2 linked regions of the Drosophila melanogaster genome follow. The gene in region 2 interacts genetically with the main gene of each other region. Each region holds a gene or a part of one and is shown on either strand. Other genes may lie near its edges.

Evidence for each region.
Region 1: of Mt2 (region 2) and htt, changing one enhances a phenotype caused by changing the other (phenotypic enhancement), as found in Drosophila melanogaster (one study listed by BioGRID).

Annotation. Positions count from the first base shown.
Region 1 is NT_033777.3:28,694,382-28,699,394, forward strand, and holds the start of htt (huntingtin), read left to right. Parts: upstream 1-1,860; 5' UTR 1,861-1,950; coding exon 1,951-2,024; intron 2,025-2,290; coding exon 2,291-2,548; intron 2,549-2,611; coding exon 2,612-2,828; intron 2,829-2,889; coding exon 2,890-3,019; intron 3,020-5,013. Other genes in the region: snu (snustorr), read left to right, coding at 1-21, 85-145, 212-543, 603-777.
Region 2 is NT_033779.5:12,094,473-12,098,206, reverse strand, and holds Mt2 (methyltransferase 2), read right to left. Parts: upstream 1,683-3,734; 5' UTR 1,622-1,682; coding exon 1,561-1,621; intron 1,512-1,560; coding exon 535-1,511; 3' UTR 520-534; downstream 1-519. Other genes in the region: Ced-12, read right to left, coding at 145-256; CG6712 (uncharacterized protein), read left to right, coding at 1,787-2,971; Pex19 (peroxin 19), read right to left, coding at 3,195-3,438, 3,496-3,659, 3,726-3,734.

The sequences.
Region 1 (5,013 bases), on a different chromosome or scaffold from region 2:
GGCACCTGGCGTGATCTTGACGTAGGTTTCATAGATATACATTTAATGGGAGAGTCATTAATGCTTTTTTCACATATTTTATAGCATTGTATTCTTCTTGGCTGTCGCTTTGACGTCATCGGCTCTGATCATTGAGCGCACTGAGGTAAGTCGAGAAAATCTATCCTCTTTTGGGAATAATTATAATAAAATTTGCTTACTTCCATTCCAGGGCTTGTTGGATCGCTCCTGGGTGGCTGGCGTCTCGCCCTTCGAGATTCTATTCTCGCACGTGATCACCCAGTTCGTGGTGATGTGCGGACAGACCACTCTGGTGTTGATCTTCATGCTGGTGGTGTTCGGGGTTACCAACAACGGCGACCTATTCTGGGTCATCGTGCTGACCCTGTTGCAGGGCATGTGTGGAATGTGCTTTGGCTTCCTCATCTCCTCGGTGTGCGAGCTGGAGAGGAATGCCATACAGCTGGCGCTGGGCTCCTTCTATCCCACCCTGCTGCTGTCTGGAGTGATCTGGCCGATTGAGGGCATGCCCGTGGTGCTGAGGTGAGTTCTTGTGGTATTACTCTGTTGTGAATGGAAATTTAAAAAATCTTATCCCCCAGATACATATCACTGTGCCTGCCACTAACGCTAGCCACCTCTTCGCTGCGCTCCATCCTCACACGTGGCTGGGCGATACTGGAGTCGGATGTGTACATCGGCTATGTGAGCACGCTGTCCTGGATTGTGGGCTTCCTGGTGCTGACGCTTCTCGTGCTGCGAGCCAAACGCGGCTAGGATCTTCAGATATTACGCTACTTTTAGATGCCTAACTTTAGAACACGATAAGTCGTCCTAATTAGTTTACACCCACTTCGGGTCTTCTTCTTAATTCCACTTTCGAGTTTCACTTCCCTTCGTATCTGCCCAAATGTCATAAATTATTTAAGCACATTCGCAGCTTTCCTTAGCTTTCCACTCGGCACTCGTTTTTCCTTAGACTAAGTTCCGCACTTTCGTAGTTTAAAGCGTAAGGTTTAGGTACTCCTAAATGAAATGTTGTAAATATTTTGTGTCACGAATTCAGTAATCCGTTGCTCTAGATGTCCATTATTTGCAACCCTCTGTACTAGACCTTTTCTCGACGCCGACACGGGCAGTTTATCACATACAAACGCAACTAATTTTATATATTTTCAATGGACTGTGATTGTTTTTTCTACATAATTCACGCGAATACACGTAGGGCAAGCCTAAACAAAAAGAAAACACAATGAAAACGAACAAAAACAATGGTGGGTTTTGTTATTAACATTAAGTAGCTTAAAGCATTTTTGTATGGGTTTAAGTTTTTTAAGGTAAAACATAATTAAATACAATAATGTACGCAACCCTAAAGAGTATGTAAAAATATATTTCAGGAAATATTTTGCGCAGAGCATAAATATTTCACAACGAACAAACATAAGACAATGAACAACGAACAAGTGAAAAACGTTCTTATTTAAGTAAATATTAATGTGAACGCAGTTATGTATAAATAATAATAAAGCGTGAATAAATAAATAAAGTTAAATTTAATTGTTGGTTTACTTACATTTTGAAAAAGATGTTCTCATTTTAACATTGGCGCCAATGCACTGTTACTGTTTTCTAGCATGTCCATAACAGTCTTTTAAATGCAGGAAATAACAACTCATTGTGACCAACTGGCTGGAATTTAATAAATATGTTATCACTTCTAATTTTCTCCAAAACTAAAAAGATAATTTAGCAGGTTAGTTCAAAATTTAAATATTTAACGATAGCTAACTTGAATACCAGGGCTGGTCGCTGGTGTTCCGCTTAAAAGCAGTTGTGCGCTCTGGTAACACTGGCGTTACAGCTGATTGAAATCATAACAAAAGAGCAATGTTTTCCTGTGTTGTTTATGCTTAAAAAGCGATTTTAGGCGTTATTAAGGACGCGAAAATGGACAAATCCAGGTCCAGTGCGTACGACAAGTTCGTTGGCTTCGTGGAACAACTGCGAAATACGGAATGCAGGTGGGACTGAACGGAAATTTGATTGTTTTCGGTTGCATTGAATGTTTTGGGGAGGGGACCGGCAACAGTTTGTTGCTCATTACGGAACAATATTGATTAAATTATGAAGCCCAGGTGATTTCCGGTGGTTTTATTGCCCTTAAGATGAACCTGCCAACTTGTTAGGCCACCCAAAACATTCATTCAACATTGAGCAATAAGTGCATCCGCTATGACGTCATGCCACATACCTGTAATAAAACTAATTTATTTCGAACCCCCCACAGCCAAAAGCAGAAGATCACCTGCTTTCAGCAGATTGCCGAGTGCATCATGTCGCCCTCGCTGGCGGGCCACATCAACTATGCCGCCCACTGCGGCACGGCCACGAATGTTCTGCTGCTGTTCTGCGAGGATGTGGATTCCGTGGTTCGGATGAGCGCCGAGGAAAACCTAAATAAAATACTGAGGTCACTCGAGAAAACCCGGGTCAGTCGCATTCTTATGGATCTGTATGGTGAAATTAAGCGTAATGGTAACCAGAGGTAAGGAGGCAAATATATTAAAGCTAAAATAACAATCTTAAAAAAGAAAAACTTTCTGCACAGATCCCTGAGGATTTGCCTAAACCTTTTCTCCTACTATGCTCCACAAATAAAGGAGAAACACATCAAGTGGTATGCCGTGAGATTGCTCCAATGTATGACCACCATTTCCCAGCGCAAGGAGACGTTGCTCCAGGAGACTCTTTGCGACTTCGTCAAGCACTTTAGCCGCCATATACAACAGGGTCTCAGCGATAGCGAATCCTGCAAACTGTTCGAGGTAGAATAATATCCCTAAACGTCTTTTCTTTTTATGTTTAAGCGTTTGTTGACTTTTGCAGACTTTTCTGGACCAAATTAGCTCCGATTGTGCCGTCAAGCGTCGTTGCTCTGCCCAAAACTGCATGAGTCTGATTGAGAATGCACGCAATAGGAGCCTCATGGCCAGACATGGGGTCAACAAAGTGATGGGTAAGACAGCTTAAATAGGAAATGAATTTCTGAGAGAAATACGAAAAATCCATATGAACACTGCATCCTTACTAGCAACTATAGCAAATGAGAAGTTCGTGAGTGCTGTTATTTACTATTAGAAAAGGAATTTAAATTCAGCAGAATGATACACTTGTTTCAAAACTCTAGGGTCAGCTGTTATTGTTATTTCGCAAAGAGTAACACCATTAAATTTAACAATATTGCAGCCTTAATAACAGCCTCTATTGTTTGTACACTTTTGGATAAACGTATTCACTATTCGCTGCTATCGCTGTTAGTTATTTAACGCATTTTCGCTACGACACTTTGTGTTCAACAGGACGCTCTTTATATTCACATCAATAATGAAAGAGATGTTTAAAAAGCGTGTAACGGCCAAATACTAAGCCTCGCATAGATCGTCATATATATACATATATTGTTAGGTTCGTGCTGGCTCTGCAGCTAAAAAATATTTTTAATATTCTAAAAAGCCGCAAATCCATGAAAAATACCTTACCAAAATGTAAAGCCATCGAACTGCGAACTACGCGAGCGCGGGAATAGATGGTTTTTGGTTTTATTCAAACTCGAATTGTGAATGCAATCACAGCCATGGGTTTGTTTGTCTGTGGCCTGTGGGCGCTAAAGGGGGCGTGGCACAATAAAAGTAACTAGACAGTTGATATAAATTATATTTCTACAGTGCTGTTGGTTACCATGCGCAATCGATGGACGAGCCATCGAATGTACGAATATACACACATATATTTTTTCCAGATTTGTTTTGATTTTAGGCAACGATAGCGGGCAGTTTTTATTTTAACATTTGCTAACTGGCGGACTGCAGCAATAACTGCAGCGGCAAAAACAAAAGTCATGGCAACGTGAGCCATGCGAAAATGCTTAAAAATTGCAAACACAAATCATTTTTTATTGAATTTTCATGAAAATATTATTGGCAAACGTCGACGAAGAGGTAAATGCACCATAGTTACGTTACATTTGCCATCGTCTTTTTATGACCTGCTGCATTGTCCAACAAAAAATTAAGTTCAAACCTCAGAGGAGCTCGGTGTTTGGCATTTGCAAACAATTGAAGTGATATACCGGACTGGGAAAACTAATTCATTTGCTAGGACTACCTTTATGGAAGTCAAAATTCTGACCTCGCCCAAGTTCATATAAATTAAGCTTCGGCTTGACTCTTCCTTTGCTCTTTTCTTGTCCAAATGTTTACCTTCAAATCAACTCCTTTAGCTCCTGTTCCGGTTTCTAGCTCTGCTCCTTTCCCTGCCGCCTACCGGTCTTCTAGTCCTGTGTCAACTTTATGCCACTTCTCGGCAAAGGCACAATGCCAGGCAACTCTTCAGCGCATCCTTATACAGTCTGGCGCCTCTTTTTATGGGCACCCATCATAGTACTTGGGCTGCCTGTGTTCTGGCATGCCCCAACAAACAGACACAAAGTACGGTGCTCAGACCTCAGAACTCAGAGCTCAGAGCCGGGATCCTAGATCCCAGACCCCAGAACACAGACCGCAGAGCCGCCCTCGCCCACGCCATCTCCGTTTGTTTGTCTCCCCGCCCGTAGACGAAATGAAATTTATGCACTTGGACACTTCCATGCAATAATTCATGCGAAATTGAATCAGATATTCATTCCTGTGCAGCTTTAAAGCGGATAATCAACGTTGTAAACAAATGCCGGCCGAACGAGGCCAGCAAAGGAAAGTCGGCAGATGCAAAGGGGAGCTGGCAAAATTTATGTTGCCCACTGACTGATGCCGAGCTAAACAAAAAGTGCAAATTATTTTCCATGGCAACTTGGTATGGCAGCACAAATGGCACAATGACCAATTCATAATCTGAAAACGCTGCTGATCTCTTTGAAAACGTACTCCATGGCCCCCAGATTGTCCACCTGGTCGAGAATGTCAAAGTAATTATTTTCATTTTGACTTCATTTTGGGCTTCTACGTGTATGACAGC
Region 2 (3,734 bases):
TTATGATGGGTTCCTTTGCTACTTTCAACATAATTCTGGTTTATTAACTTCTTGGAACTTTGTTTTACATGTTTAAAGCAGATTCTCTTTAAAACTGCTGCTCAGCAAGCGAAAAATCTTTGTTTTTATCCGCTATTTACTCACTTGCCAGCGGATGCCTTTGATCCAGATTTATCAACTGCGCTATATGGTCCTCTCGCTCCACGGCTATTTTCACAATGTGTGAATCCTTAACCGTCGTCTTTTTTGGTATCATTTTGGCACTCTTTCAATTAGCGATAATTGCAATTATTATTGTTTTTCTGCGTAAACTTATATTCTTTTTTTTTTTAATTCAGTGCAGTGTGACCAATTGACAAGTAGTATGGAATATCACACAGCACACAACCGTTGCGTTTTGTGGCATAGGCAACACTGGGCGGGAAAATTATGTGGATTTGAAATAAATATTTTAATGATAACAGCGCAGAGTAATTTCCTAGCTAATAAATGTATTAAAGTGAAAATAAGCAAGCAAATATGTTGTATTTTGTTTTATTTTATCGTCAGCAATTTAATAAGTTCACCGACAACCTTTACATTAATACTATTTCCCAGCAGTCGATACTTTTGTCGATTCGTTGTTTCTGGCGGAAATTCAAAATTCTCCGGAAAACTCATTAGACGAGCAACTTCCCGTGGCGTGAAATAGCGCAGTCTCACCTGGTGCAACAGGTCCAAGCGTTGCTGCAAAATCTTCTCCGACTTCGATGCATCCTGATTACTTGTGTCAATTTCCTTGACCAACTCGAAGATGCGGTGGGATTCGTCCTCCGAAAGCGGTGTGTATGCAGAGCCCGTGCCCTCGGTGTAATGGGTGTAGCCCTTTGTAAAGCACATGGATCTACTTTGAGCAGGATGTATTATGTCCATGACCAGCACTCTTTTGGTCAAGACATCGTCGGGCACCAGGAAATCGGGTGATACATTTTCCTCCACAATCTCGGCAATTTGTGAAAGACCCTGATTCTGGGCTATAGCACCCGGCATTTCTTCCCAGATCTTTCCACCGGCAAATGGAAAGTCTGCACCCTTGCGGGCGATGCAATAGTAGCGATATCGAGTATTTGGCACATTGAATTGCGTTGGCGTTAGAATAAACTCCCGCCAATGGAATCCCGACCGCTCCAGCGATTCAATAAACTGATTTCGCGCCTGTGAGCTCTCGAAACCCTTGACGTTTTCCATGAGTATGTACTCCAGTTCCTGGCACTCTGGGATCAGTCCACACAGATGAGTAAGTGCATCCGATCGCTTGTCTTCCGTGTCCCTTTGCAATCCCTGGCGAGTGTGGGGCTGACATGGCGGGGACATCAGCAGCATGTTGGCCTGAAGCTTTGTGACTTCCTTTACACTCAGGCTTTGAATATTCCTAGTTTTCACCAAATTACTGCCGTAATTGTGCGCATAAACCGCATTGGCCACGGTGTTGACATCCAAGGCGGCAACTATTTGTCCATCCAATTGGGCATCTTCAAAAGTATATATTAGTTTCGCATGTATCATGATCGACGAACTCACAATTAAAGGCATAATGCATGCCGCCAATGCCACTAAATAGTTCTAAGACCCGAAATACCATTTTAATTAAATATATTTTTGTTTACAAACTACACGTTGTGAGTGGCACGTTTTCCAACACTGCCCCACACAGCAGATTGTCTGCGTTTCCGTGTGATTGGTATAAGAAGAAGAATATCAACACGTGCCGCTCGCATTTTTGTGAATTCGTGATTCTCTCGGAATAATGATAAAAATTAAGCGAAAAACAGCCCCTCCGCCCGTGGAACAGGACTCGGACAGCGATTCCAGCTTTGACGAGGAGGAGCCACAGGATTTGGAAGTCCAGGAGGGGCCAGTCACTGATAGCAGCGATGAAGAAGCCGCCTCCAGCAGCAAAAAAACGGCCAAACAAGGGGAAGCCAGTGAGGATTTAAAGGAAGAGGATGATGACGACGATGAGGAGGAGAATGACGACGACGACGAAGAAGAGGATGATGACGACGACGACGACAAGAAGACACGAATTCCTGTTTTGAATCCCCTCAGCTGGATGCGCAACAAGGAGCAGCGTTTGGCGTTGTACAAAAAAATGAAGAAGGAGAAGCACAAGAAAAAAATGCAGGAGCGCCGTGCCCGACGGAAGGCTGGTGTACCCGCCAATCCTGGTCACACCATAGAGAGCCTGCGAGAGAAGGACCAAACAGAGGTGGCCAATCTGAACGATTCCGACAACGAGGAGTTGCAAAAGGAACTCCAACTGGACGATTTCAGCTCGTACTTCGAACGTTCGTACGAGCCAAAGGTGCTGATCACTTTTGCTGACAATCCGGTGACCAAGACGCGTAAGTTTGGACTGGAGCTTTCGCGCATATTCCCCAACGCCCTGGTTAAGATTCGCAACAAGTCGTCGGTGAAGAAGATATGCAAAAGCGCCGAGCGCGAGGAGTTCACAGACGTCGTGATCGTTAACGAAGATCGCAGAAAGCCCAATGGGCTGCTGGTCATTCATCTGCCCAATGGTCCCACTGCCCACTTCAAGCTGTCCAACGTGAAGCTCACCTCGGACATAAAGCGCGATCACAAGGAGATAACCAAGCACAGGCCCGAAGTGATCCTGAACAATTTTACCACACGTTTGGGTCTGACCGTGGGCCGCATGCTGGGTGCCCTCTTCCATCACGATCCCGAGTTCCGCGGCCGCCGAGCGGTGACGTTCCACAATCAGCGAGATTACATATTCTTCCGTCACCACCGCTACGAGTTCACCAAAGAGGGAAAACGCGTAAAGCTGCGCGAACTGGGGCCGCGGTTCACCCTGAAACTACGTTCCCTGCAGGAGGGCACATTCGACAGCAAGACCGGTGACTATGCCTGGATAATCAGCAACAAACGGCACGCCATGGAGTCGCGACGTCGCTTCTTCCTCTAGGTGTATTTCGAGGCATTGTATTTAGGTATAGAACTACTTAATAAACCAACAGTTAATACGAAAATAATAGCTTGATTGAAGAGAGAGGTGATAACCATTAGCGACCGCCGTATTGTTTTGTCGGTGATAAAATAAAATACAAATTTGCCTTAGCCTAAAAAATGTGCAACACTCAACAGTTAACCAATTGGCACACCACGAGACTATCGTGCTCCGTCAGCCACTACATGGTTGGGCACTGGGGACCGGGACCGCCGGCTGCTACGCCGGCAGTGGGATCGCCGAAGGGCAAGTCGCCGCCCGTCTCGGCCAGAATCTCTGGCGGCGGCTGGCCGTAGTCTTGCAGTTTGCGCATGTCGTCCAGCACGACGCGGAACTTCTCTCGCTTCACGGCGGCCGAATCCTCGGTCTTCTCGCTCTGTAAATGCCCCTCAATCACCTTGTACAGCTCCATCTGCTTCTGGTACCTGTATGTATTGGTTTCTCAATAAAAGTATCTTATTGCGAGTTGATTTCGAGCATACCTTTCCTTGTCCTCAGCGGAGAGCTTGGCGTCGTTCTCCTCGAGGTACTTGGGGTACTTCTCCAGCAGCTCCCGGATGCTGGGCAACAGAATCTCCGCCGAGAGCAGGCTCTGCATCATGCCCTCCATGAATGGTAGGAACATGTTTCCATCACCCTCGCCAGCCTGTCAAACGGGGATTGTTTAATGATTGAGCAAGGAGAATTCATATTTCATTTTCAGGATGCATACCCCTTCAAG